Linked DNA regions of Struthio camelus. The protein of the gene in region 3 purifies or fractionates together with the protein of the main gene of each other region. This does not show direct contact. Links are inferred from orthologs where the notes say so. Each region holds a gene or a part of one and is shown on either strand. Other genes may lie near its edges.

Region 1 (9,506 bases), on a different chromosome or scaffold from region 3:
GTCAAAGACATAGACTGCACTACTGTGCTTGTGTATAAAAAGGGAAAAGAAGTCTATATTATTCCGAGTTCGAATCTGCTACGTGTTCTCCTCTGTCCAGAGACCGTACGCACTTCAGGCAGATTTCCTGATGATCAGAGTAAGGGGTTGAGAGTCCTGACCGCTGAAATTTCCCACCTGCAGATTATAGTTAGCGTGATTCTTAAAATCCCTTAAAAGCTTTCCAGCCTTTATCAGTCTTCATAAAACAGTAGGTGATCCTTGGATGAGAGATTCACAAAATAGTATTGTTGTTTCATTTATATTCTTGAGGAGCCCTTTTTTTTAGGTCAGTGTATGCACAATAAATGCTGGAAATCAGCTTATGCACTTTTGGCTGGTTCAGTTATTTTAAATCGTTAGAAAAAAAAAATGTCAGTCTCTCTGGGAAGAGGCTCAAGCCATTAGCTATGTCCCTAACAGAAACACACAGTAGCAATTAATTGCTTTCACAGCAGACTAGCATTTGTGCTGCTTAGAAGCTCTGGCAATATAACTGATTTTTCCTGGAATGAGAATTCCTGTTGGTATCGTTTCTCCGTACTGTTCTGAGTTGGCTCATTTCGGCTAGCCTGGCTGATGTTGCAGTGCTGCCTGCCATCCCCTCTAGTCCTGCAGTTTCTTTCTTGCTGTTATTTCATGTCTTAGTCTCCTACTTCTGTGTTTCAGCGGGCTTTGGAACGTTCCCTATATCAGTGGCGCTTACATGGTTAAAGCCAAAACTCTGCGATCAGAGCTTGACCAGGGAGATCTCTTCCACAGTGGAAAGCTGGATGCTGACATGGCTTTCTGCCACAACGTTCGGAATCAGGTCAGTTGAGGAGAGAGAGGCTGGCAGTGGAGGACCGCATGCCACAGTGGAGGTGACAAGATAGAGCGGTTTCAAGGCATTCGTGTCTGCCAGGCCATGGGACAGGATGCATTGGCGTTACTTGATCCTCTGCAGTCTTGGAACAGTGTGAGATTTCTGTCTTGCTGTGAAACCACCCAGAGCCAGGAACCATTAAATGCTGATCACCTTTTTGTTCTTGGACCTATTCAGGGCTGTTCTAAATGGGGACAGCAGGAGAAGAAGGAAGAAGCTCATCTTAGGGCACCTGCTCTACTCTGCTTCCATCCGTGGCTGATGAGAGGCACAGGATTGCTGGCTCTTTCAGAGCCAGAGTTGCTGGCTGCTTTCAGAGTTCCTCATATCCAGGGTGGAAACTAAAGTGAGGCCCATGGGAGAAAGAATGAGTAGATAAACAGCTTAGAGCCATCATCACTGGTCCAGTGCTTGTATTTCATAATGGCTCACCGGAATGTGAGGCCTGGAAACACGGTTTGATTGTTTCCCTTTTTCCTGCAGGGGGTTTTCATGTACTTGACAAATCGGCACCAGTTTGGACACATACTCTCTCTGGAGAATTATCAGACAACTCATCTCCACAATGACCTCTGGCAAATATTCAGCAATCCTGAGGTGAGATAACTGGCACGCTCAGCAGGCCGAGCATTGTGGGATGTGAAGATCTGATGATCAGCTTCGTTGATAAGGAAGGTCCGGGCTTTGTTGTATGATGTCTCTCAGGTGGGATGAGGAGCACAGTCACAGAATTTAAAGGGAGGGTGTTTATGTGATTTGTAACAACATCTAGATCTCCAAAGCCTGTGAAACACTGCTGCTGCAGTGCCTGGCCTTTCATTGCCTCTTTAGCCAGGCTGTACAAAAATGACTAGTTTGCTTATCTTTTAACCGCAGGACTGGAGAGAAAAGTACATCCATGAAAACTACACAGCAGCTCTGAAAGGGAAATTGGTGGAAGTGGTAAGAAAACATTGCTCTTATCCATCAGAATGGCAGATTAGCATCAGGATAATGCTTGTATTATCACCAGTCTTAGACGTAAGCAGCTCAGCACTACCTCAAAGTCTTTCAGATTCAAGGTCATGTTTCATCTGGAAGTATTTTTAGGGCCAAATCATTCTTTCAGAAGTACCTGTTCAGCTGTCTTTAAGTAGAAGCAGGGCACATGAATCAGAAGGTAAATTTCTGTCTTCAATATTGTAGTTATTTTCCACTTAATCTGACCCTATCTACCATCTGTCTGGTTTATTTCCTCTTCTCTCAAGCACCTGCCCTTGTTTCTGCTATTCTCACCTGTCCACTTTTTTCCAGCCCTGCCCAGATGTTTACTGGTTCCCCATATTCACTGAGGCTGCATGTGATGAGCTGGTGGAAGAAATGGAACATTATGGCCAGTGGTCCACAGGTGACAATACGGTAAGAAAAAGCAGGAGTTTCTTGACTTCTAGGTCACATCATTTTCCATGAGTATTTGGTGGCAATAGCGTCTCCTCTAAGATGGCCTTAGATCCAGCAGTTAAACTGGGAAAATGGAGGCAGTAGTCCTAATTTTGCTCCTGGTTAACTGTGTGATTTTGCACATGTTCTCATATGTGAATTGGTTTTTCTGAGTCCTCTGTAGTATCCTCTGAAGCTACAATGTTCAGCCCTTCTGGTAGTCTGATTGTCTGTCTTGTGGGTTTAATTAATGTTTGGAATGAGTTTTCCATCCTGAAAAGCCTCATGAAGAAATCTTATATTTAATGGTAATTACCAGAAACAAGTGTTTGTCATACCTGAAGTCCAAGGTGCCCATCCTCACGGATATTTTGATGATTCAATTTCAGGACAGCAGAATACAAGGGGGATATGAGAATGTCCCAACTATTGACATCCACATGAACCAAATTGGCTTTGAAAGAGAGTGGTATAAGTTTCTTCTGGACTATATTGCACCCATCACGGAGAAACTGTACCCAGGATACTATACCAAGGTAGGTATACCTTGGCACCTCCTACTACTGCAACTGTGTAAAGGAAAGGGCCCCTAGGATCCTCTGTCGATATGCATACTGTTTCCCAGTACGGAGGAACTGACGCTGCAGTATAACATCAGTATATGCATCAGGAAGTACACGATGTTGTGAGGACGTTCTCCTGACTTACTGGGTCTCTTCTCTCTTGGCAGTGAAATACAATTTAAATGTTACACCATGCTTGGAGCTCAGTAGCTATGGAATAATACAGCCCTGTAACGTGTGTGTTTATTTTGTTCTTCTCCCCTGCAGACTCAGTTTGAGCTAGCCTTTGTAGTTCGCTACAAACCTGATGAGCAGCCCTCTCTAGTGCCTCATCATGACGCTTCCACCTTTACCATTAACATTGCTCTGAACCGAGTTGGAATAGACTATGAGGTAAGTGCTACTGACTGGGTTAGGACAGCAGATTTTTGAATACCTGCGGCAAGAGATTCCCCAAGCACCTTCCCATGCTTTCAGAAGGGCTTCCAGGAGAAAGCAGAGATCCTTTCCCTGACCCGCTTTTACCAAACTGATGCTCTCTGGTTTTGTTTCTCCCAGGGAGGAGGCTGCCGCTTCCTGCGCTACAATTGCTCCATTCGAGCTCCACGAAAGGGTTGGACCCTTATGCATCCAGGACGCCTGACTCACTATCATGAAGGCCTTCCTACCACCAAGGGGACTCGTTATATCGCAGTGTCCTTTCTTGATCCCTAGAGCTATGCCTAACAAGAAGGACCTTTCCCTGGCCCCACTCACTGCTGACTTTGAGTGGAAGCAGGGAATGCTGCTGAGAGTCTCCAAGGCATTGATCAAAGCTATTTGGATATTGGTTTTTAATGATATTTTAAGACTCCACTACTGGAAGATCTCCCTCTCTGCAGGTAATATCTGGGAACGTTTTTGTAGAATTTGGACGGAGATTTTGTGCCTTCATTTCTGATTCTGCTCCTCATCCACTGTTTCTTGGAAATGCGATTTACTTGAAACTTCACTGCTCGGGTGGCTTTACAGAAGTGCTTTCTTGGACTGGAAATCCAGCTTTTTGGAGGCAAGTCACAAGCTCTCTCTCCAAGTAGCTGGCAGCCCATTTCCATCCACTGCATATACAGGAATGGACATTAGAGAATCATTTCTGGACACTGTTCCAAATAGAAAATCATCAGGGCGCTGGCTCCAGGAGTCATAACAGTTAAATGTAATACCAGATGAAACTCAGCAGTAAGAGCCTGAAGTTCATCTGATTCCTTACCTCTTTGCATTCATTGGAAATGTATCATGAAGTTCAAAGCGGCAGCAGTGGCCATCTAGGTGCTTCCTGTTAGCTAAAGGAAGGTCTGCTTATTATACTTTACCTCTGGGATTAGGTTGAGGAGATTAAAAAAATAGCCTCCCTATCTTCTACTACCACAGCTAGACGGGAGCCTGTATGCCCAGACAAATTCAGATCAGGTCAGTATGTGTAGATAAAATCTAAAAAAGGGAAAACTGAGAATAACTAGATCTGCCGGGAGGGCTCTACTGCTGAATCAGCTCAGCTCTATTCCATATTAAGTTTGTCAAAATCTCTAACCATCTGATAACAATCCAGAGGCACCAGTGGTTTTTGATGGCCTCACTCCAGCTCTTAGTGCTTGTTTTGATAATTTTCTTTGCATCTAACTCGAATGGGCCATCACTGGAAAACAACTGTTCTCTGGTACTTAGAGGAGATAAATTTTCAGTATTCCCGTCGCTTGAAGTTCCCCAACAAAACACTCCACTGTAGATACTTCTGCGGTGGGGTGGAGGGTGATAGAAGTGTATGATTAGAAAGCGCTATGAGATTGTGGTGGACTGATGGGTATAAAAATCTGTCTAGAATAGAGGTCACGGTTTATGCATGTTGGAGGGGGAACAGGGAGAAACGTTTTCTGCTGTCGTCTATGAGCTCTGCCTCTTAGAAACTTTTTATTTTCTGGGTCTGCCAGACTAGTACGTTTCGCAAGCAGTAAATTAATATCAGAAACTGTTCTTAGGGAGGAAAAAAAAAAAACCTCTTCCTCCTCTAAGTTATCTCTGCCTCTGGACTCTACCATCTAATTTGATTGTCAGGTGTAGAGATGCTTCGTCTAGTACTGGGCACGTTAACGCAGGCAGAACTGCTCGTAGCTTTAGGCGTGCTAAGTGTGGACGGGGAATCTTACACAGTTTGAACGGACCCCAGGAAAGCAACACAGCCCCTTTTCCGCTGCTTTCCACGTGCTTTTTAGGTCTATTCGAACGCTACACACTCATGCACACCAAAGGGAGAAAACTCCAGGCGTGGACAATCAGTTTGTAAAGTGAAAAATTAAGCTAACTAACAATTCTTGTTACTGAAATCCCGGTCAAGTGACTTGCATGCTGTTACCAAAGGAAGGGACCGCCGAGGCCTTTTAGCGAGAAGATGTTGAAAAGGTGTATGTATTTATTCAGCAGGTTTTTCCACTTATTTAGTTGTGTTTTTAATCTGCCCAGTACAGCGATGGGAATTTAATTCGGGCTCTCCTGTGCTCTGGTATTTCTCACGAGATGTACAATTTCAAGCGGGAGAATTGACATTAAACCATGACCAAACGCTGACGTGCGCAGTAGCTCTCAGTCCTGTCATGGCGCCTGCGAAGGGCGCGGCGTCGCCGCTTGCAGCTCCCGTGAGCCTTCGCGGGGGATGGGGGAGGGGCGCGGCCTGGGACTACGACTCCCGTGATGCGCCGGGAAAGCTCCCGCCGGTCGCCGGGCGATGACGTTTAGGCGCTTCCGGCGTCTCTGGTGACGATGCCGTGGGGGTAAGATGGCGGCCGTGGGGGAGAGACGGTGAAGGTGAGAGGCGGAGCGCTGCCTGACGGGAAGTGGGCGGCGGCGGGTGCTGCTCGGGGCTGGCTGCGCCGAGGCTCTCGGCCGCGCTGGGCAGCGGCCGCGGCGGGCGGGGTCTTGCCTTCCCTCAGAGGTGCGCGGCGTGGGGCGGACGCGCGCGCTTCCCGCCGTTGCCCGGCGCGTGAGGAGAGGGGAGGGGGGGGCGCGCGCGCTTCCCGCCGTTGCCCGGCGCGTGAGGGGAGGGGAGGGGGGGGCGCGCGCGCTTCCCGCCCTTGAGCGTGTGGGGGGGGGGGCACTGCCCGGCGCGCGCCGCCCGCCCTGTGAGGCCTGAGGAGACGGCGATGGCGGGCGGCGCTGGGCTACTCCAGCGCCTTATGCCCCGGCCCCTCTGCTGCTGCAGGGACGGGGGTAGGCGGGAGTCGGCGCCGCGGGAGGAGCTGCAGGACGGGGTCCGGCCGGGGAGAGGGGGGCGGCAGGAGCGGATCGTTCACGCGCGAGGCAGAGCGGCGCGGACCATGCCGGAGCTGTGAAAACGTCGCTCTCACCCTCAAAGTAAGCGGGCCGCAGGGGGGACGTCATCGCTGAGGTGGGCTGTGGGCCTGTCTGTTGGAAGAGAGAGGGAAACATGAGTTGGTATTTTTTTTTCTGGTATTGGAGTAATTTCTAATGGCAGAAAATGGGGTAAATTGTTTGTGAAAAATTGCTTTCTTTAAAATACATATTTATCTAGTTCTTGGTAGACAGCTGCCTTTTTAATTTTTTAAAACGATGGAGGCTTAGTTAAATAGCAGTTGACCCTTGGCAAGTTACCTTTATTTACTGGATTTTTCCCTGTAGCGCAATGTCCCTGTTGTTTACTCGTTCCAAGTCAATTGTTGCAGTGAAGAAGGATAAAAGACACATGGCTGAGGTAAATGCTTCTCCGCTTAAACATTTTGTCACTGCAAAGAAGAAAATCAACGGTATCTTTGAGCAGTTGGCTGCATACATCAATGAGAGCTCCTCATTCCTAGAAGGTAGGCTATATTTTTGAACTACAGCTCTGTAAGAGAGCTTTGACTATTTCAGTAATTCCCCATGCACGCACACCAAAAAAGATTCATTTAGTTAAATGGCACGGCTAGACCTGTTCTTATTTTTATTTATGCACGTGTACACCTTTGTATGCAAATATTTACGTGAAAGAGAGAAAATCATTCTACTGAGTGAAGCTCGGACTTTGTCTTAAAGCTCACTTAAGTTTATGCTTATTGTGGAACTGCATATAAAGATGTTAGCTGCCTTTTGGGGTTTTTTATGTTGTTTTGAATTTTTTTTTAAATGGAAAATTCAAAGTCGTTTAGGTTTTATGTTCTATAATCCTTTCGGTGTCACTGCTAGTGGCATGTAATGCATTCCAGTAATTGACTTTAACAGCTTAAAACCCAGGCAGCAGATTATTTAAGGAGGATGGAGTGTTTGAAATGTTGGCTCCCTTCTGTTTAAGGCACTCTTAAGGGTGTGAATCCCTATTAGAAATACAAAAGTTTCCAGCTGATAAATGCTGATGCAAAGTTGCTTCGGGACATGATTGCATGTTTCAAGGCTGCCCATGCAGCTATTTAGTTGCATGTGTTAAGTCATACAGAGGTGTTTCACTGAGTACTGAGGTGGATTACTTCTGAAATTCTGAGGCATGGTGTATTTTGACTCTTTAGAAACACACAGGAATGTGGAGCTTGACCCTGTCACCACAGAAGAGCAGGTATTGGAAGTCAAAGGTTACCTCTCAAAAGTCAGTGGCATTAGCGAAGTGCTGGCAAGGCGACACATGAAAGTGGCTTTTTTTGGAAGGTAAGTCACGTGTTCATGTTGCCTACGCTGCCATCCTCAGTACAGCAACTGGCATCTTTAGGATCAGAGCCAGTAAAAATATTTATAGAAACACGAGTGATCCAGCTTCTGAAATGCAACGTGTGGCAGAAGTCCCTGGTACTAGTCCTGTTGTAAATCGGAAAAAAAATATTGTAAAACACAATACTCAATTTGGAGAATTTCTAAGAAAATGGAGTGATCCTTTTGCAAGTTGCCTATGGCACGCAATTTGTTAATGCTTCTGGAACTGGCTAGGTTTTGAGAACTTCCTGTCTTTGATATCGGAATGAGTATACTTGAATCTCAGAAGTTCATCTATACCATTCTTTAATCTACCTTCAGGACAAGCAACGGAAAAAGCACTGTGATAAATGCCATGCTATGGGATAAAGTCCTTCCTTCAGGGATTGGACACACCACAAACTGTTTCCTGCGTGTAGAAGGAACAGATGGGCATGAAGCTTTCCTGCTTACTGAAGGCTCAGAAGAAAAGAAGAGCGTCAAGGTACAACTCTGTTAAGCCTAAGATAAAGGAGGAGAGCTCTGTCCCCATTCTTAAAAGTGGCAGAAAAGGAACAGTACAATTAAATGACTAGGAATAAATTTGGGTTCACAGTTAAGGATTTTTATCATTCAAAGAGAAGAGCTGAAGAACAGGTTTTTGGTATAAGAAGGACAGGAAGAGTAGAGCAAGCTATAGGATGCCACTTGTTCATTTTATGGATTATATGATATAGTTGTCAGTGATAGCAGGGAACTGAAGATGACCCAGAAGGTTCTTCCAAGCTTTGACTGACTGACAGAAGTCACAGCCTTCTTGAGGATTCTTCAGTAGCCTTTCTTGACAGGAAAGTGTATCAAACTTTTACCAGGTGGTTGCCTGTTGAGTAGGAGACTTGAGCACATTTTATATCTTCTGGAAATGACCTAAAGCTGTGTTTTTTGGTTTTTGTTTTTTTTTTTAAACTGTCCGTGAACAGCTCTGATGGGGAGATAATTGTGTTAACATGTCTTAGCACACAGGAAAAGTTATAAATTGTCCATCTCTTAAACAGACCGTAAACCAACTTGCTCACGCTCTTCATCAAGATGAACTTCTGGATGCTGGCAGTTTAGTCAGTGTTATGTGGCCCAATTCCAAATGTCCTCTCTTAAAGGATGACTTGGTGCTGATGGACAGGTGAGAGATATCTTTCTTTTCCTGCTTATCACAGCATTAGTACAAAAAAGTCTTCAAATACAAATGTAACAAACATAAGGAAATTGACCCTGTCTGTAATTAACAGACAGGGTTTCTCTCTACTCTTATTTCCTTTTGGTCGGCACTCTTTATCACCTCAGAACCCAGCGTAGCTCAGACGTGGGAAATGAATGCCTGAAGAGCTGGAGTGTTTTCTTTCTACTTGTTTGTGTTTAAATTGTATTTCTGATGTTTCCACAGCGTAGTAATGTCTTTTTTTCCTTTTATTGCTAGCCCTGGCATTGATGTAACCACAGAGCTGGACAGCTGGATTGACAAGTTCTGTCTAGATGCTGATGTATTTGTCCTTGTGGCAAATTCTGAATCTACATTGATGCAAACTGTATGTTCAAGTCCTCTTGTTAATGTTCGGTGAATTTGGCTAAAAGTCTAAACGTTTTGACATGTTAGTCTGAGAGGTTTTGTTCCATTTTGCCTAGGAGAAACAGTTCTTCCACAAGGTGAATGAACGCTTGTCTCGACCCAATATATTTATCTTAAATAACCGCTGGGATGCATCTGCTTCTGAACCAGAATACATGGAAGAGGTTTGTGGTGTGTTTAAAGTCCTTCTTTTTGCATGAACGTTATAGAGTCCATTTTGACTCTGCTCTTTGTGGGTAGAACCACAAGCTGTTAGATGTGGTTGTTGTACGGTTTAGATGTTAACTACTGTAATGTGGAGACTACAGAG
Region 2 (9,527 bases), on a different chromosome or scaffold from region 3:
GAGTCCAGTGCATGCTGGGACTTCTCAGTGGAGTGGATCGCATTCAAATGTTGTGGGGATGCACTATACAGACCCCAAAAAGAAAGAGAAAGGTAAATGTAGATGCGTATTTTCAGGAGCAGCCCCTGCTTGGCTTCTGGGAAGCTGGAGAATATAGATGTTGACTTTCAATGTAGTTACGTTTTCCTTTTTTGCTTTGATGGAAGAGATGAAGGATTCAGAGTTCACGTGATTTGCTCGTTGAACACAAAGCTTACTCTGTCCAGTGAAAAATAACTGTTTTTTGCACTTGTAAGCTGATACAACTAGTTGAGAAGTTAAATATGGACCCAGGTGTTTTGCAGCGTTTTTTTTAATCTTTTGCTTTTATCTACTTCCTCTTTCAGAAAAAGCTGCTAATAATGGAATTTGCAAGGATATATGCGATTCGCCTATATTCAGTGACAGCCCTACAGAAGAAGAGAAACCCCTTGATATTCAAACTGTAGAAATTTCTACAACAGAGGTTAATGCTGTAGAAGTTCACGATATAGAAACGCAAACTGTTTCACCTGAGAAGCTAGAAGCTGAGGACCTAGAGGAAATCCCTGTTGAAACCTGTAAAATCTTTGAGAAGAACCAGGCTTTGAATATCACAGCTCAGCAGAAATGGCCTTTGCTGAGAGCCAACAGCAGTGGTTTATATAAGTGTGAGCTCTGTGAGTTTAATAGCAAGTACTTTTCTGATTTAAAGCAGCACATGATCCTGAAGCATAAAACGTGTACAGACACTCCTGTCTGTAAAGTTTGTAAGGAGAGTTTCTCCAGCAAATTGCAGCTTATTGAACACGTGAAACTACACGAGGAGGATCCATACATCTGTAAATATTGTGATTACAAAACAGTAATCTTTGAGAATCTAAGTCAGCACATAGCAGACACTCACTTCAATGACCACCTTTATTGGTGTGAGCAGTGTGATATGCAGTTCTCCTCGAGCAGTGAGTTGTACCTGCACTTCCAGGAGCACAGCTGTGACGAGCAGTATTTGTGTCAGTTCTGTGAGCATGAAACAAATGATCCAGAAGATTTGCATAGCCACGTGGTGAATGAACATGCATGTCGACTGATAGAGTTAAGCGACAGCTATAACAATAAAGAACGTGGACAGTATAGTCTCATAAACAAAATCAGCTTTGACAAGTGCAAAAACTTCTTTGTGTGCCAAGTGTGTGGCTTTAGGAGCAGGCTGCATACAAACGTCAACAGGCATGTAGCTATTGAACACACCAAAATATTCCCTCATGTTTGTGATGACTGTGGGAAGGGCTTTTCAGGTATGTTGGAATATTGCAAGCATTTAAGCTCTCACTTATCTGAAGGGATTTATTTGTGTCAATACTGTGAATATTCAACAGGACAGATTGAAGATCTTAAAACTCATTTGGATTTTAGGCATTCAGCCGATTTACCTCATAAATGTACCGATTGCTTAATGAGGTTTGGAAATGAAAAAGATCTTTTAAGTCACCTTCAGGTACATGAGACAGCTTAATTAACATTCTTTCCCTGTAATCGATTCGTTAGAATGGGAATTCTTTCCAGTCAGTCACTAAAATGTGAAGTTAAATACAATTTAACAGCGATTGTACAGTGGAAAATACTCACGCTTGCTCTTTGTATCAACAGAACACGTATGACAACTTGGCGTTGTGAATTTTCTTACTTGGGGGTTTCCGTAGGAATAATCGCATTTAGAGTGTGATGGATCAGATGCTGGGGGGAGGGACAGTGGGAGTAGTTGCCTGTTGTAATAGCTGTTCTGAAGGTCATCCTGTATTTTCATGTTTAATATTAAAGAGCTGCTTTCTTAAGAGTTTTAAAAAGAGACAAAGAGAAAGCCAACAGCTAGTTTCACGCTTAAGTAACTGTGCTTGCCATAGCGTTCACTTGCACACCGAACTCATGTTACCCTCTGCAGCAGCAGGTCAGCGTGCTTATGTCTAGCAAATTGCACTGGCCGGCCGAAGATAAGCGTAAAAATTCCCAGGCACGCAGTCTCTAAAATCATATGTTAGCCTGCATTTCCCACCCCCTGCTTTTGATAAGCTTTCAAAATTGACCTGTTTCCTTGGAGTACCTGTCCTACGTCGTGGTTTTGCTTCCTGTCTTTCTCTGTGCAGTGTTTAATTTCGACATCTGTCTGTGGAACCGCCCAGCAATACCTTCTAGTGCTTCATCAACTCCCACACGTTTACAACAGACTTCCCCTATTGTTTTTGTCTCCTTCGTTTACCTTCAGCCCTTATCTTTCTTTTGATACGTTAATGAGATGTGTGGCCTGCCTGTAGGTCGGGTCAGGTTTTAAGGCGCCATTGTAAGGGAATTTGCCAAGTGATCCAGCTGAGAATGTACGAAAAGCATGGTCTTTGCATGTAAAATCGTAATTGAGCTCTCGCTAAAAGGGTGTATGTCAGCAACCTCATTTAGAGCAAGGCTCTATTTGTTTATACTATTATAATTCGGTTACTTTGTGATTAGCTTTCTGCCGCTGGTAGTTGGAGGACAGGTATTTTAATTCTGTAAATTTTAAACTTATCCTATGTACTGGTTTAAAGCCCCGGCACAGTACATAAATTCTGTTAACTTTAATCATTTTCAAATGATTTTGCACATCACATTCAATAGTACTGTCTTTATATTATAATCTTTAAAAGTGAATTTTTAAGCTTCATCCTGTAGCTGTATTTCTGAGTGACTGATGCTTGGGCTGATAGTAAGGATGAGATCATTTAGATTGTGGTAGTTATTGGGGTGAAATTACCCCTATGTAAGTGGTGGAATTTCAATGTCTTTCTGTATTGACTGTAAACTTGTATGGAAGATTGTCTAATGCAAGCTTTGTATAAATCATGTATAAAACATTTCTTGAACAAGGAGATTTGGTGTTAGTAGCAGCAAGGTGTGTAAGGGTCTTTGCACTGGATTTTTAAAGGTAGGGATAAAAATTGGCTAAATTCAGTCAGCTTATGGAAGTTTAGTTTCTCGAGAAGTGTTTCTGCAGTCTAACATGAGCCAGTTAGCGTATGTTGCTTTGCAGGAGGCAAGACCATTTTCATCATTTGGAAATGCTGGTTTGCTACTGAATCTTCTGTGTAGTCATTGAAAAGAACAACCTGATCCCACAATGATTGTATTTTATTAATCCATTTATAGACAGTGACAGTGTCTGTAGAATTGCTAGCTTCCTATTTTGAACACGTCTATCCTGGCTGGCTTGCTATGGTAGCAATAACCTAGTTAACAAAGTAATAATAAGAACTAATTTGGATATGGAAAGTTAATTTTGCTCATCTTGGTATAATTGAGGAGGGGCGAATGCCAGTCCTCCTCTTACAAGCAGCTCCTGGTGACACACAGGTGGAACGGCACTGATGAACACTGGAGAGCAAGCCACTTTTTTTCGGAGACTGACACTAAGAAGGGGCCGCACTGTGGAAGGCACAAGAGAACACTGGGCTTTAGCGTGTCCCATCCAGGAAAGGGAGTTTTGTAGGCGCCGTGGAGCGCTGTGATGCGGAAAAGTTCCTTGACTCCTGAATAGCTTCGTGCCTCTAATTGTTGACTTACGTCCGTTTCTAATCTGTGAAATGGGAATTAAAAGAATACGTCATAGGAATGTTGTGAAGACCACTTGTTCCTAACAAAAAACCACCACGGTGTCTAATTAGCAAATATATGAAATTGAAATTTGTCTTAGGTTGAATTTTATAAATAAGAGAACAGTTTTTTTTTCTTTTAATATCTGCAGAAGGTAAATGGGAGTTTACATGAGCAGGTGGCCTCATTTTACCTTAGCAAGAACATAAATAGGATATTTGCTTCCAAATGCATGTTAAACATGACAGTGTGTGTAGTAGAAAAAACAAGTAATAAGAGTTAAGTCTGTCTAGAAGTTGGGAGGCCAAGAGGAACGGTTGTACATGTCAAGGACTATCTGTTGCTCCCCGCTGAAGGAGTTTACAAGGTAAAGGCTGTGAATTAAAGAGGAGAGGTTTGGTTTATTTACAGGAAATGCGTTAAGTGAAAGGACAGTGTTCTGAGGTGTCTGCATTAAGGTGAATTAAGACGACTTGAATGCTGCTGGTCTGATAACTGCCAGAGACTTGCATTGTCTTTATTCTTACAGCTTGAGCAATTCTCCTTGGTCTTGAATTAGAGAAATTACCTGTGGTAGTCAGAAGGGAATTATGCCCATATATTTTTTTTTTTCTCTGAGATGGTAAATAAGTGGGTCAAATTGAGTGTCTTGCTCCAGTGAAACCCGCAAGGTGCAGCTATCTGAGTAGCAGCATTCTACCTGGAAGCTTTACAGAATCACAAGACTGGCTTCAGAAATAACTTGTATTTGGTTCTTTGTCCTCAGGCTTTTGAGCCTTTAGGTTAACTGTTGTGTATTTTAGCTTCCTGGATCATGTTTGTTATTAAACAAGAGAACTTTTTATACGAAAAATTCTGCTGACTTGAAAACAAAATGAAAAACCAACGAATTATTGCAGGAACTTAGGATACAGTGCATTAGTAATTCTAAAATGATGTGTTCTCCATAATGCTTATTAAGTGCTGTAGACTTTCATGGTTTTCTGTGGTTCTCATTTTCCTGTGCTCTTTCGTGGTGATGTATCCAATATATAAATTATCAGTGCTTTTGAACTCTATAAAGTATTTTAGCGTTTGTCGTTTTAGTTAACAGCTGACTGATTAAACTGTGGTGCTGACAGTATTCAGGAATCCAAAGTCATGGTTCATGTTTTTAGATGTTTGTGACAACTTTCAAGGGCTTGGAAGCTGAGTGTTTACAATCTTAGATATGAACTGGGAGGAGCAGAAAGCTTATGAGCTGCTTATGAGCAGCGCAGGACACCGTTAGGTATAAAAGACTTTCAGTTCATTGAAGCTACGGTTTTATGTTGTGTTTTGCATCACGCAGCGCCTTGTAACAGCTGTGTCGGTCTACTTCTGGCTTTTCCAAACAGTTGCTTGGTACTTCAAGCAGCTTCTCCTCTTCCAAATGTTTGTTAATTAAAACAACAGTGTTAGCCCTACCTACTTCGGATTGCACCTAAATAAACAGCACGTCCATGAAGTGAAGCTGCCATCCCGGTAGACAAACGGCCAGGCAGCAGCCAGCGTCGGGGGTGCTCTGACAGAAAGGGCCGAGCCTCCCCATGGGCGGGAAGGGTAGAGAGCTTAAGATGGTCTCATCTCTTCACACGGTCCCGCTTGTAATTTCTGAAGGGGTGAGGAAGTCCTAGAGCTAGGCTGAAGGCGAAGGGAGGGCGTGCACTGCAGCCCGCCCGGCCGGGCTCCCCGCGCGGCAGCCTGCACCGCCACAGGCGAGCCCCCGCCTCCATTTCACAAGCACCGCGACGCCGCCGCTGCCCGCGCCCAAGATGGCGGCTCCCTCTCCCTTACGCACTTCCGGCCCGCGGTGAAAGCGACGGCTTCTGCGCTCCCGCCCAAAATGGCGGCGGAGCCGGGAGGAGGGTGAGCAGGAGACGGAAGCGGAAGCGCCGCCCGCCCGCCCGTCCCGTCGCGTCCCGTCCCGTCCCGTCCCGTCCCGTCGCGTCCCCTCCCGGCGGCGGGCAGCGGCAGCAGGAGGGAGCGGCGGCGGCCGTTGCCGGGTGACGGAGGCGCGCGCGCGCGGGGCCAGCGGGTCGCTCCGTAAGTGAGGTGCCGCCGCGCGTCCCGGCCTGGCGACCGCTGCGACACCGTCCCGCCGGTCCGGCCTGCCCTCGGCGAGCGGAGCCGCTGGCCGGGCCGGGCCTTTCCCGTGCGCTGCGCGAGGGGAGCCCGTGACCTGCGCGACGGTGTGAGGCAGCTGGCCGGGTTTTAGCAAGGGAAGGGGGGGGAAGAAAGGCTGTTGGGTTTGGAAAGGAAAACTAGAGGGTACAAAGTCTGTCGTGAGCCGCCACAGGAGTGTCTGAACGCGGCGGGGAAGGTTCTTAAAATATATATATATATATATATATATATGCTAAAAAGAGCTTTGCGGAGTGGCACGGCAGCTCGCCCTTGCCCGGCGGCGGCGGCGCCCCGAGGAGAGGCCGTTGGAGCGGGCGCGCGGCGGCGGGGGCAGACGCGTGTTGGGCTGGAAAAGGCAAAAAAGCCGCCGGCGCGGGTGTGTGGTGCCGGCACCCGGCTGGAAACTGGGGCGAAACGTTGCTCCTTAGGTAGAGTTCCAGCTGGGTAGTTTTCTAGGTGAGCTCGTGTTTGAAGATTGGCTGCAACTAACCCGGGGATTTGAAGTGCTGTGGCCGATGTTTTAAATGTTAAAGTTTATACCAGCAGGCGAAGTAGGGTGTTCTTGGTGTTGTGAGAAACCAGAGAGGAAAACTTAGTCTTCGTAGACTTGTTTTTTGTAAACCCCCCCCCCCACCGCCCCCGCCGTGACTAGGGAAAAGTAAGAGTTTGTCAGGATAATAAAATTAGTGTAAATTAACTTTTATTAGCGTTCATTGTACTTATTTTCTTAAACGTTTACTGTGTGAGACCTTGCATGACTTTTCGCTTTTGTTGGTGTCCTGAGTGTTGCAGTGACTTTTATGTAACTTTCCCGACAGTTGCACAATGGCAGAACCTGCTGTGTCTCCACTGAAACACTTTGTGCTGGCTAAAAAGACCATTACTGCTATCTTTGACCAGCTGTTGGACTATGTCACTGAAGGAGCAACTTTTGTCGAAGGTTAGTTTTCCTCTTAAACCCAAGGGCCTTGTCTGTTGCTTTGAATTCGCTTTCTGGTAGCACAGCGTGCATAATGATACACGTTAATATGCCGTACGTGTCAGCTTATTCCAGAAAAGTTGCGTTTTTTTCCTCTGAGTTGGATGCTTTCAACTTGGGCAAGCTGGAACGCTTAGGCTGGTTACATATACGAGAGGCTGGGGAATTATTTGGGCTGGTAGCCTAGCCTCCTTGCAGCGAGGGTGAAGGCTTGACCGCAGTCAGTGTTAGCAGTCGTGCAGTTTCTTCTGCACAGACAAGGGACCAGACAGGTTCTCCCAAAATTCAGTACAAAAGTCAGTCAGCTTGTCAGAGCACAACGGAGCACTGGTTACACCCTCAGAAGTGTTAGTAGTGCGGAGGAGCATGTGTTGCCAAGCCAACTTGGCTGCTCATCCCGCAGGTTAATCCTGACAGGAGGAGAGAGCCTAGCCCTGATGTGTTTTTTTTGTTTGGTTCAGTTTGTTTACAGTTGTATAATTAAAATTTAGACAGCTCTATGTTGGCACGTGAAGTACTGATAATCTGTGTCTTGTATCCTGCAGCATGTACTCTGTATGTGATTGCTTTTGTGCTATTCTTTTTGTATGTCTAGGAACATACAGGAACCCAGAGCTTGAACATGTAGCAACAGAAGATGAACTATCAAAGATACAGGCATATAAGGATAAGCTAGCAGTCATTGGTGAGGTGCTTTCACGGAGACACATGAAAGTGGCATTTTTTGGCAGGTAATGGATAAAATTATCAGAGCTTTTTTTTTTTTTTTTTTTTATTCCTTTTTCCCCTCATGCAGGACTTAGTGACCGTATTTTCTAAGTTTTATGCCCTGGCTTTAGTGTTTCCTCAAAAAATTATTGTTTAAAACATTATATATTAAAACATGTTATTTTGCTAATTGGTGCTAAATCTTTCTTTGATGCCATCTTGCTCCAACACTGTAGCTTAATTACGTACATCTTGTTACGTGTTTGTCATTGATAAACTATATAAAATAATTATTCTGCGTAGATCTGCGATTTGATTGAGGAGGGTCTAAGATTGTTGTTTTCTTCTCCAGAATGTTTATTTTAACTTGATGGTTTTGTTTGTTTTAGTATCTTTGTTTTGCTGGACTGTTGTTTATAAGAACTGTGGTTGGTGTTTGATCACAAGCAACTGTGGAAGAACTACTCTTTGGGCTGCTTTTGTTTCCACGTGTAAGCAACTGATAACAAAGTTAGAGAAACTTGCCTTGTTAATCATTAGTTTGCTATATCCCTGTGATGATTATTAGGGATGACGTATATATTACTGGCGTACACGTAAATCTGAATGAAGTTATGAAGCTATGAAGTTAGGCTCTTCTGTATCACTGACTGGGAGAAGTTCTAGTTCAGACCTTGGTACTGTTACCGCAGACTATTGCATCTTTTACATGTTTAAGTAACACTTCCAAAGTTTTGAGCGTTTTAAATTCCCTTCTGTTCCAAAAAAGATATTTTAAGAATTAGAAAGTTTTTAACTGAGGTTAGCTTTGGATCATCTAATCTTTAATTTTTTTATTTATGTATCAGGCAAATGGAGTTAAAAAGTAAGGTGTTTGTTGCACCCAAAAAATATGTTGTTACATAAAAAATTAAAATATTTTAAAGAAGTGCTGCTGGCTACTTAGACCCAAAGCAGTAAGGTTCTATGTCTCTTTGGTTGTAGCCGTGTTGTGCTTTATTTTTCAGTCTGATCTTTATGGAACAGTTTTAAGTTTTCAATGGGAAGCTTTAGTTGGGTTTTAACGTTTCCGGTTAACGTCTGCAATCCAGACGTTGTGTTCTGATGTTCTTACAGAATTTGGAGGCTGTAGAAATAGACTGGGAATCCACATTACTAAATGGGAAGTGAGATATCGAGTAATTAAGTCCTTCCGAAAGACTAAGGTTCCAGTGCTTTCAGAGGCTTACGTGCCTGGTTAGTCTGGTGTCTCTTAGTCCCATTTGCTCTGAGACCATTTGCTATTTCTATGCTTAAGGTGTTTTGTTTTGCTTTTTCCCCATGTCTTTCTCCAAAACTGATCTTCATGTTTTAATTTTAAAAATGCCCTAATAGTACTAAAGAAATGTGTACAATGATGGTCTTGCTACCTTCATTTTGCTAACAATAGTTCAGCTATTAAAAATAAACAGTAAAAGGACCTGTGATAAAGGAAGTGATTCTATCTGAGCCTTGACATTTCGCAGAGGTAAAAAAAAAAATGCGTTTACAGCTATGATTCCTGGTAAAAGTTGCTTTTGCAACGGGCAGGAGTTCAGCACAGGGAAAAGAGAACTAATTCAACTTTAACTTGGAGATCTGTCCCCAGACCAACGCAAAGTTTTGGAGCGAGACGTTGGGAATAATTTTTTAAATTATCGTATAGTGAGCACTAAACTGCTTTTCCAGGAGAAGTAGCTGAAGAAACCAAATTACGATGTATGTTCACTGCACCCTGTTGTGTAATAGTTAAGCTGCAAATCTTTATGGGTGGGGGGTAAAAGGTTAGTGCAAGGTAGGATATTGCTGAGAATTAACTGGAAGCTCTTACAGAGTTTTGAGTTGGTGAACAGTTCCGCTTAATCGACAAGAATTTAGTTAATTTAGTTAAGAATTTGGTTAATTTTTTTCCTCAAAAGTGAGGATAAGACTGAATCTCATGATTAAAGAGAGCATTGACATTATGAGGATTATGTACAAGAAATAAATTTGAATGTTCTTTGCGATTGTTTCACATCTTTCAGTGGAAATCTTCATT
Region 3 (10,456 bases):
GGTGATGTCTACTTACGCCTCTTGTATTTATGCTGTAGCCCATCTTTCAGATAAGTATAAAATCACTAGCTAGATATTTCAAGTAAGAAACTCAGTTCTTTTGACAGGCCCACCTTAACAGCTATTAACCCTTTGTTAATAATGTGTTGTTTGCTTCCAGACTGAAATTGTTTAGTAAAAATAAAGCAAGAGAGAGCACAAGAGATATGAAAGAATGATGAATCCTAGGCAACAATTTTGAAGTGCTATCGAGATACCCCTTACACTGGAGAAATCCAAACTGCTTTATTAAAAAAAAATAGAAGTCATACACACGTACAATCTAAGAGTCAAGAGAAGTCAGAAGTTCTCTTGGACAAATAGATAAAGAATTTGGTAGGAGAACTCCAACTCTTGCATACAAAACTCCGCATACATTCAGATCTGCAGCAACACCTCACTCTTGATACAACAGGAAATCACAACTCTGTGTTACCACCTAGATACTAAGAAAGAAAATACAATCTTATTTTTTTTTCCTCCTAATGACTTAAATCTTGGTTTAAAAAAAAGTCCTATTCACTGAAATGCTGTTTTGTGCATCTTGCACAGAGATATGAATCTGATTTAACAGTATGTGGTTTGTGTGAAATTATAATCCACTAACAGCTGCTTTTAAGCTTTTGCATATTTTTTTTTCCTACTCAGGAAAACATCAACCTGTCATTAGCAATAAAGATAACTGGGTGGAGAAAGAGGCACTGCAAACCTCTCAGTAGCTTTACAGAGGATCCTTCCGCAGGCTATGCCCCTTAATGGGAAATGTTGAAGGTTTATCTTGATGATCACTAAGTACAACATGAAAGTAGTTATATGTGATTTTGAGAAATACCAAACGAATGAAAATTGCTTTCTAGTAATGTAATCCCTCTCCCCTAAACCCAAAGGGTAACAGAAAAAAAAAAAAAAAAACTTGCACTGACTCTTTTTAGAGGCCTCAGCCTGTACAGAATACAGTATTGTACTGTATTCTGAATTCAAATCCTTAATAGCTGGCTCCTTCTTACTGCTCTGTTCACTGCTTCCCACACTATTGCTGCTAAAGTCTCTTAAACTGAGCCCAACAAATTCTTATACAAAAGCTCCAGTCTTTCTTTTCACACCTTCTTTCATGCTTAAAACTCTTATCTAAAACTTTTTCCTCTACTGTCCTTGTTGCCCAGGAAGTCAGGTATGCTTTCAATTGCTGTATATTATCCAATCTGTTATTCTAAGTTTACTGGAAAGTGTCTTTGAAAAGGGCCAGGTATATGCACTGCAGTTTCACAGAGCTGAAAGAAAGGATTAAGAATATTAAATACACATCAAAACCCACATACCCACTTGGCCTAAGAATTAAAGAGCGGTAAACTGGTTTGGTGACTACTTAAAAAGTTTCACTTTTTTATTAACTATTCATTCTAAGTCTGTCACGACCTTGTTCTTTAACTATTTCCAATGTGACACTTGGTTTTAATAATTTTTAATACAATTTGTTGCAATAGTGTCAATAACGGTACTTTTTCTGGTATAGGCAATGCTCTAGAACCTCTTTGAGGATAGAAAGAAAACCATACACACAAAAAAAGAAAAAGACACTTTTAAAGCGTAAAGTCAAAAAAGCATCAAAAATATCATGGAAAATATTATATTTTTGCGGTCTCCTGCATGTCACAGTCCCAAATGCTGATGCAAGCAAGCATCAGCGAAAGGCTTCTATTTTATTAATTCGTGTCAACTATGTTGCATCAACTTGCTGTTCACAACGCATTATGAATACTACCTCACAGTTCCCAACAGGCTAAACTAGGACTTCATGATATGATACTATAATCATAAACAGTGGGACACCCACTCAGAATATTGCCATTTCCCAGGCCTCTAAAACCTAGAAATCGCATATCATCAAGAGTACAACACTTCAGAGGAAGATGAAAATTTTAGTTGCAGAGAAGTTGATTCAGCAACACTCTTCCTGATCTTTTTCAAGAATTTTTTTTTTTTTTACTTCCTACAAAATGATTCTACCATCTTCTTCCCACTTTTTATTTTTCTTAAATCCCATCCCCTTTATTCCCTACATTCACAGGAAATATGCCAAACTGAATACTTTCCTGACAGTATCTCCAAAAACCATTCAAATCCTGCAAAGACATTTAGTCTCCTGACTGCTAGCCTCCTTGACAGGCATCAGTCTAGATTATAACCTAAATCATCCAGTTTTTCCTCATGCTACTCTAGTTTTTCTAAAATATAGACAATCAACTTTCTCTCTCTCCCTCCCCCCGCCAACTTACTTTTATCCTCTATCTACATTAAACTGAAATTCCTCATCCTCACCTTCAAGGCTGTACACAGCTCTGTCCCTGCCTCACATAGTTTACACTTCCATCACTTGCCTGATGATAGTCTGTATTTCACTAAATCCTCTTTCCTTAGAGGTGACCTAGAAAGAAGAAAAACACTGGGATTTTTTTTGCTTCCTTATGATGAAAGCTTGGCAGGTTCATCAATAGAGATTTCATTCCTGTTGGGTCTCCACCTTCTGAAATACCAGTCTATCATACCTCCTGCAATAACATGCCATCAACTCCTATTTGCTGTTTATAGGGTTAGACTTGCAGGGCTTCCTGGATGACTCAAAACTGTACACTGGGAATCTTCAACCCTCAGTAGAATAGAGTGAAAGTGCCACATATTCAAATAAAAGCATAAGCAATAAGTATGTGTAGTAAAGACATCTTAAGAGTAGCTAAACATCAGTCCTCACCTAGATTTAAGTCATATTAGTTTATCTTAAGAGTCTGTACTTTTTTTTTTTAAAGCTGTGCTCCAAAAGGCGCTTTTACACAAAACAACAGCAGAATACACAAGGCCAGTTAATCTTACCTTCTCTTTTGCTGTCTTACCCTACGTGCATCTCAACGCTGTCTATACCTACAACATCTCCTATACCCCCAGGAGCTGTACAGCCTTTAGCGCCCCTTCACCACCCTTCCAAAAAAGCCGCTTCAACCTAGACACACCTCCTCCCACCCAAACGCTTCCGAAGGAAACCCTTCCCACTCAAACCACCACCCGGGGGAGGACAGCGGTGCCCGGCTCCACGTTGCACTGCTTTATGCCCGAGCTCACACCGCTTCGCCCGGATCACCAAAGTTTCCCGAAGCCGAAAAGTGAAACCAGACGCGCGGTCCGGGCCCAGGCCCTTCTCCGTCGCCACCGTGCCTGGGCCGCCCGCCAACGGCCGCGGCCCGAAGCGGCGCACCGAAACACGCCGCCGCCCGCCTCCCCCAGCCCCACGGCAACCACCCCGCCGGGAGCCGCGAAGGCTCCTTCCCCGCTGTGTCCGGCCCGGCGCTGCCCCGTACCTGTCCATGGTCTGCGGCAGGGCCAAGCCCGTCTGCTCGGACATGGCTGCCGCGAGGCCGCGCTTCCGCGGCGCGGGGAGGTGCGGGCCGAGCCGCGGGCCGGCGCCTGACAACGGGGGAGGGGAGGGGGGGGCCGCAGGGGCGCGCGCGGAGGGGGCAGGGCAGGGCAGCGCGGCGGTGCGTTGCGCAGCGCAGCCGCCTTCCCGCGGCCGCCCCTCCCTCGGCAGGCGGGGACGAGGCGTGCGCGGGGCCGGTCGCCCAGGCGGGACGGGACGGGACGGGGCTGGGCTGGGCTGCGCGCAGCTGCTCTCAGCTTGGGCCGCCGTCGCCGCCGTGAGGGGAGGCGGCGACTCCTCTGTGAGGTAAGAGCTAAGCGGCGGCCGCGACACCTCCCGCCCCTCCGCGCCCCCACTCGCCCCGGTGCGCCTGCGCCAGAGCACAAGCCGCGGCGCCCGCAGCACGCTGGGAAATGTAGTCCTGGCGCCTCCGGGAGATTTAAAGGTCCCTTGGGGCGCGCCCCCCTCCCCCGTTTTCCTCTCCTGCTGTCGCGCTCCCCGGCCCTCCCTATGCCTCTCCTCGCTGCCGCCGCTGAGTAGCCGCTGCCGGCACCGCGCGCGCGGGGCAGGTAGGGGACGTGGCGACAGGGCGGCCGCGGTCGTGTGAGGGGAGCGGGAGGGGGAAGGTGCCCCCGGCCCGCTCCGCTCCGCTCCTCCGGGGGCCGCGCGGGGTGGGCGTTGGAGAGGGAAGCGCCCTCGCGCCTCCGCCCGCCGCCTCGCGGCGCGGCCGTTGCCCTGCGCGGCCCCTCCCCCCCCCCCCGGCGCGTGAGGGGAGGCAGCGCCGCCGCCGCCCGCCTCGGCCTCGCCCAGCCGGCAGGTGCAGGCGGCGGCCCTCGGGCCAGCCCCGGGGCGAAGGGGCCCCTGCAGGTGCCTGGTCACCCCGGCTGGGCTGGCGAGGAGGGCGGGGGCTGGCGCAATGGGAGGGAAATGAGCCCGTTTCTGTGGGTGTGTTGGCAGTGACGAGGTAAAACGCCCTCTTGTAAAGTGGCCCTTGGCACTTGGGGAAGGCCCGGCAGCCTCTGAGCCCCCTCTGGGAGTGAGCGGGGTGAGGGGCAGGGCGGTAGCGTGGTGGTAACCGTAACTCGTTACTTCAGTTTGTAGGCGTGCTTCCTAATGGGGGGCGGGGGAGAGCTTCTGAAGTGCTTTTAAAATCTGTCTTATGTTCTAAAGTTGACATACGGCATCACAGCCTAAGAAACTGGGAATTTATAATCTGAAAAGCGTTTAGAGAACAAAGAGGCAGATGGTGCCTGGAGAAAAGTTATGTCCCTCCATCTCCACCACGGGTGCGCGATGCCTCTCTTCCACTCCTCTCAGTCCAAGCGTAGCTGATTTGCTTGTATGTAAAGGTTCTGCGTTATGTCATGTTCCCCCAGCAAAGGATGATGTCATGCTTTCCAAAGACAGTTAAAACATTCCAGATTCTTGGGAAGCTTGGTTAGTAAAGATCCACTGTGGCCTTTCCTTTTCAGGTTGTATGATTTATATACATATTTTTTTAATAACTAGGCCTTGTAATGAATTTTGTTACATGTAACAAGTCCCTGATACCTTGTATAAATTATAATCTGGTTATACTGCAATTACTGCACAAGGTGGTAGTTTAGCAGGCCCGCCCCACAGGCAGACAACCACATCAACATGCATCTGTTTTTGGTTGAGACAAGTAGCATTTGCTTGGTGGGTATACACGGCTGTAGAGATAAGGTAGAATAGGAAGCTGATCTTTAATGAATATCCTGAATTGTCTGACCCAGATGCCTTAAGCTATGGAAAAATCACTCTGAGAGTCTCTGGGGAGAGAGGTGTTGTAAAAAGGGTTGTAAAAAAACAAAGTATTGCAGCATTGTCAGATTACAGAATAATATGTATGTAGAAGTTGGTTACACAGTTGGAGTCCCTCAACTAAGAATGCATTAGACCTGAGTTTATGTACGTTATTTTAAGCTTCCACCATTATTTTGGGTCTGAGCTTATCCTTCCCAGATCTTATTTTCCATTTATCCTTTCACACCTTGATTTGGACTTTTAAGCTGTGCTATATGTATGGATTGGGTGTGGGAGGGGTGGGTTGTTTGTTTTTTAATTACTAAGTACCATAAACGGAAATGCTGAAGTAGTTACGTTGAGGTAGTTGTATTTTATTGGAAGTATGTACAGAAGGAGAAAGGAAGAAGACGTCAAACTGACATCCTAGAAAATTTATTTGGTGCCTACTCTGAGGACAGTAAAATTCAATTTTGCTTGCGCTGCTAAGAAGTCTTGGGCATGCGGTGGCCTGGATACACCATACATGGATGACTTCCTGGAAGAGAACCCAATACGCACTTTGCCTATTAGTCATACAGCTGTTTGTGAGATAGAAGAGGAATATTAGATATCCGAGTTCCTGGTTTCTAATCTTGGTCTGGAATTAGTGTGTTGTCTGTTGACCAGAGCACTGATCAGACAAATACTTTGGTTTTATATATTTATCCTCAAATGTTACAAACCGGACATAAACCAGGGAGGCTGGCTTTATTCCTACGGTTATGTGATTTGTGTAATTTCTGTATTTCTGTTTTGGAGGTTGGAAGGATATATTAGGTGCCTGCTGTCTAGGATAAAGCTGTGAGGTCATGATCAGTAATAATGGCTGTGAACAATACTTACCTGAAGAAATGTAACCAGAACCCAGGATTACTTGGCTACTATATGAGGCTGAAGAGTAGTCTTGAGGAAGCAGGCTCCTTTGCTCTACCACTGGCATGTAGGGAGGGATGACAAGACTGGACAAAACTTGAATATCAGGTCAGATGGTAAACACCTAGCAGACTTGTACATCATATTTTTTGCAACCTTCAAGCATAAAAAAAATCAGACCTCAAAACATCCTATAAATAGCTTAAAAATCGTGAAATATAAAAGCTGATTTATGCCTCCATACTGTTCCAGGGTTTGTTGCGCAGCTAGGGGTATGCATTCTCAATTTGTCTGCTCATCTCAGAATCATCAGAAAAAAGTGTGATATGAAAACACATAGATAAACACCTGGGTCTACACTTGGAGAGAACCCTCCTCATTGCCTGACAGAGCAGGAGTTGTCATTCCATCCTCATCTCTTCCCCCTAGCAAGACCGGATATGCAGCTGCTCTACTCAAATGCTTTCTTTATTCTCCCCAACAATCTCCTACTTCAATTCACTTTCCCTCCCTTTTTCTCTTCCTTTTCCTTACACTTTTTATTCTTTATTCTTCCTACTTTGCATTGGCAACTTCCACTATAAAGCTCAGGTTGCCTCTTGCTGCTTTTGCAATTTTTGAATTATTGCTTCCCATATTATTCCCTAATAGATTGCTCTTTCTTCCTTCTTTCTGTCTCCGAGATGTTCATTGCACTGTCTCACTCTGTCCTCTCTTGTCTAAACCTGGTAGTAGCTGCATTTGAGCCCAGTTAGACGCAACTCTTCTGGGAATAGACTCCCTTTTGCCAGTGCAAGTGAAGGAAAATGATTGCTACTAACTGAGATTAGACTGAGCTCAGCCTCACTGATACTAACAGGAGCTGGCAGCTATTTTGACTTAAATAAAACTTTCCCTTAGAAGGCAGGTATGGAACTTGATGAAAACCACTAAAAATAATATAAGCGATTTAGCACTTTAAAAATTGAGCCCTGAATTTGTCTATCAGATTTATAAGTTGACAGGTCATCTTTTAAAATACTAAATTGTTTGGTAACAAACTTATTCAAATTTAAGTTTAATAAAGGAGTTTGTAAGCAATTAATGTAAGAATAAATATGGAGCTAATATTAAATGTTTACCTGATCATTTCAGCAAGGCCTGAAAAAGAGGCTGAATAATGAAGTAACAGTTCCTTAATACAGTTCTTTTAATGTGATGACACTGAGTGTGCCGGAATTGCTCACTGTTTTCAGCAAAGTGAAGTAACCAGGCAATATGAAAGTATTTATTCTCTTTAGGCAATACTCCATTTTAACTGCTAGGATAGCAATGTATAAAATAAATGACAAGATCAGTTAGGCATTTTATATCTACTTAACTCCATCATGAAAAGACAAGGAGCCCTCAGTGAAACTAAAATGAAGCAAATCTAACCTGAGAAAGATGCTTATATAATAAAACTCAGTTTTTCAATAACATAATGCTTTCTTTTAACCTTCAAGCTAGTTGAAATGTTCACTTTCTGGTAAAAAGACTAGCAAAGGTTGTTACCCATAGTAGGCTTAAATTACTTAATAATGAATTTCAGGAAATAAGAATATACTGAGGTATTTCAGAGAATAAAAATACATTGAGTTAACTTGGCTCATTTGGGCCTTTCTTACATTTGTTTCTTTGGAACTTGCCCAGGTCAAGTAATTCAGATATCAGATTGAATGAAGCTCTCGTGTTCTGATATAGCTGTTCTTATTATCTTTTTAACTTTCAGTTACTGAAGAGTTAAACTGGTAGGAATAAAAATTGTTTTTCTTCTAGTGGCTACTAATATAAAAAACCTGCCTTTACGCCCTGACTTTCTTGGTTATAAAGTGCTTTTCCATTTCTGGATGTATAGTGAGCCCTCTGCTCATCTTAATAATTAATCTGCAAAGTGAAGCTGTCACCTGCAAAAACCTGATAGCAAGGCTGTGGTCCCTTCCACATGCAACCTGAAATCATCTGAAAAGCAATAATCCAGAAATAAAAAAGGGACATAAAGGAGCGGTATTCAGTGAAGAGAGCCAGCCCTGTACTATCTGGGATATTTCAATAAATGAGGAATTCTCAACTGCTGTAAGAAAGCAGTTTTCCTGGCCCTTAATGCTTCAGAGTAGCACAAACAAGTCAGAGCAAGTGTTGAGAAACTCTTAATTACAGCATTGATTCAAGGCAGGCAGACCATACAGTCCAACATAAACAGACTGTAGAAAGCAAAGACATAAGTTTTTCAGCAACCTGTTTTCAACTCCCTTAATTTCTTTTTCTCGGCTTTAGTCATCTCTCTTTCATCTGTAAAGCAAAGTATATTTCGTCCTTTGAACAATCGGCATACAATTTTATAGAACGTTAATGTTTTCACACTGCTGATTTCAATTATGTAACTTCCATACAAGTGTAAGCGCTTGGTCCGGAATAACCAGAAACTTAGATATTCATGTATAAGACAACAAACACGTATGTCTGTAAACTAAATTCTGAAAGCTACAACCTGACCTATATTGATCATCAAATCATGAGGAGAGGAATGATGAGAGGAATTCCTTTCAGGCTGTGTAGCTGTGTACTGAAGTAGAGGCTGGAGATATGTGGATTGTGGGTCTTGGAAGGGAGGCAGCTAAAATGAACTGCAGGGTACAGGGCAGATGGAATGTTAAATAGTAAAATTTCCACTCTTTTTTTTTTTTTTTTCCTCTGTAGGTTTGCCAGGGTATTAACAATAATTAGGAACTGAAAAGTGGTAATTTGGAAATCTGAAACTATTCGTATAGCACAAATTAATGCCTATGTGCTAATTTTTATTTGTTTAAAAAAATTACATGCCCTATTTGTATATGAGCTTTAGAGTATGTTTTTAAAAACGATACTATGACAGGTTAATATTTTCTTCAGCTAAGAATCATGACACAATCTCATTTCTAATAGCTGTAATCTTTCTATAGCTGGTATAAGTTATGATTAATTTATTGTGCTAGAATAGTTTGGCTAGTGATTGTTGTTCTAACTAGGTAGCTATTTGATCTGGGTTTATAAATTAATTAAACTATTAGGAGCTCTTATTTTATTATTGACTTCCAGCTCAGTCTGACAGTTATTTATTTTCCGAGCGCTAGTAATTCAGACTGCAACACTTTTCCCTGGAGAGAGAGAGAGAGAGTGTGTGTGTTTGTTTGTGTATTTTTTTCTTTTCGAGCACTCTTCCTTTCAGGTCGCTTGTTCTCACCACAGACATCAGGGAAAAGCTATATGCAGATAAGACTTCAAACCCCATAATTCCTTGGGAGAGCATGCGCTGTATCCTTCCAGTTGTCAAAGTGCTCTTGCCAAAGTGGTCGCCTGTTTGTCGTATACCAAACCCGAAAGAGGGAAATAAACACACTCTCATTTTATTGATCTTTAAATACAGAAAATCCAAAGGTAACTGTTCCTTAAGAATTTCTGCGTTGACTGCGTGGGTTACTGCACGAAACGGAGCGGTTATTGCTATGGGGATATAAATTTCCTGTACTGGATTGTAAATTTGCACAAGTACTTACACCAGCAGATAATCAAGAGGTACTGCATATTAGTCCAACATTAGACATTGGCTGGCCTGTCTTTCAAAGTCATTTATTATCCAGTGTTTTTCCATTCAGACTGGCTTCATTCATTAAAGGTAGGTCTTGACCTTGGCAAGAGGGTTGAATTATGCAGAAATTTTATCTTTAAGAAGTAATATGAAAACGAATGTGAACTGCAGTCCTCAGGATAAAGTTCAAAAACAAATAGCTAAGTCAAGGTACATATTTGAAACAACTGCTGCGGTAGCAACTATAGATAATTTGGTGACTGACTGATTTAAATATACTTTATTGACAACAGAATGTTAATGTTTCAGCTGCTATGTTTTTCTCTCTCTATATATTTTAATATTAATGTCTCAGAAACTGGGGAGGGATAAACATTGTGTTTTTTTCTCTGATGTGGAATCATTAGCAATTTTATGCAGCCTTAGAACTAAAGGTGATTTTGATAGAAATGCAGCTAATGGAAAGCTACACAGAGCTTGGAGTATTATGGCTTACTGCAGTGTCGCTTTAAACTGCCTTGCAAGGTTTTCTGCACCCCCAGCAGCAGCAGCAGTGCTGCCCTTTTCAGTTGCAATAGTTTATTCCCCTCTTCTTAGGAACTTGTCGTAATGCTGTCTCACTACATAGTCTGTTCATGAACCCTTGTTGTTAGGCTTACATACTAAAAAGGGAAATAATAGAGAACACGAGCAGTAACCTAATTGATAGCTGACACTCATTTTTAGTTAAGAAACGTGTGTAC

Evidence for each region.
Region 1: the proteins of MARCHF5 (region 3) and MFN2 purify together in Homo sapiens (affinity purification with mass spectrometry; 5 studies listed by BioGRID and IntAct, counting the BioPlex papers as one, with this or other methods). This does not show direct contact. The link is inferred for Struthio camelus from reciprocal best matches to the Homo sapiens genes MARCHF5 and MFN2.
Region 2: the proteins of MARCHF5 (region 3) and MFN1 purify together in Homo sapiens (affinity purification with western blotting; 4 studies listed by BioGRID, with this or other methods). This does not show direct contact. The link is inferred for Struthio camelus from reciprocal best matches to the Homo sapiens genes MARCHF5 and MFN1.

The regions. Positions count from the first base shown.
Region 1 is NC_090962.1:6,947,031-6,956,536, forward strand, and holds the start of MFN2 (mitofusin-2), read left to right. Parts: upstream 1-5,660; 5' UTR 5,661-5,724; intron 5,725-5,755; exon of another isoform or gene 5,756-5,851; intron 5,852-6,106; exon of another isoform or gene 6,107-6,118; 5' UTR 6,119-6,270; intron 6,271-6,555; 5' UTR 6,556-6,559; coding exon 6,560-6,734; intron 6,735-7,415; coding exon 7,416-7,551; intron 7,552-7,914; coding exon 7,915-8,077; intron 8,078-8,627; coding exon 8,628-8,752; intron 8,753-9,046; coding exon 9,047-9,155; intron 9,156-9,252; coding exon 9,253-9,360; intron 9,361-9,506. Other genes in the region: PLOD1 (procollagen-lysine,2-oxoglutarate 5-dioxygenase 1), read left to right, coding at 709-850, 1,388-1,501, 1,781-1,846, 2,198-2,302, 2,713-2,859, 3,154-3,279, 3,445-3,600. UniProt on the Homo sapiens protein: Mitochondrial outer membrane GTPase that mediates mitochondrial clustering and fusion. Mitochondria are highly dynamic organelles, and their morphology is determined by the equilibrium between mitochondrial fusion and fission events.
Region 2 is NC_090950.1:24,790,811-24,800,337, reverse strand, and holds the start of MFN1 (mitofusin-1), read left to right. Parts: upstream 1-5,476; 5' UTR 5,477-5,503; coding exon 5,504-5,526; exon of another isoform or gene 5,527-5,851; intron 5,852-6,602; coding exon 6,603-6,724; intron 6,725-7,358; coding exon 7,359-7,494; intron 7,495-7,858; exon of another isoform or gene 7,859-7,962; intron 7,963-9,513; exon of another isoform or gene 9,514-9,527. Other genes in the region: ZNF639 (zinc finger protein 639), read left to right, coding at 1-92, 387-1,534. UniProt on the Homo sapiens protein: Mitochondrial outer membrane GTPase that mediates mitochondrial clustering and fusion. Membrane clustering requires GTPase activity. It may involve a major rearrangement of the coiled coil domains.
Region 3 is NC_090948.1:18,851,955-18,862,410, reverse strand, and holds the start of MARCHF5 (E3 ubiquitin-protein ligase MARCHF5), read right to left. Parts: upstream 3,717-10,456; 5' UTR 3,434-3,716; coding exon 3,390-3,433; intron 1-3,389. UniProt on the Homo sapiens protein: Mitochondrial E3 ubiquitin-protein ligase that plays a crucial role in the control of mitochondrial morphology by acting as a positive regulator of mitochondrial fission and as an important regulator of immune response.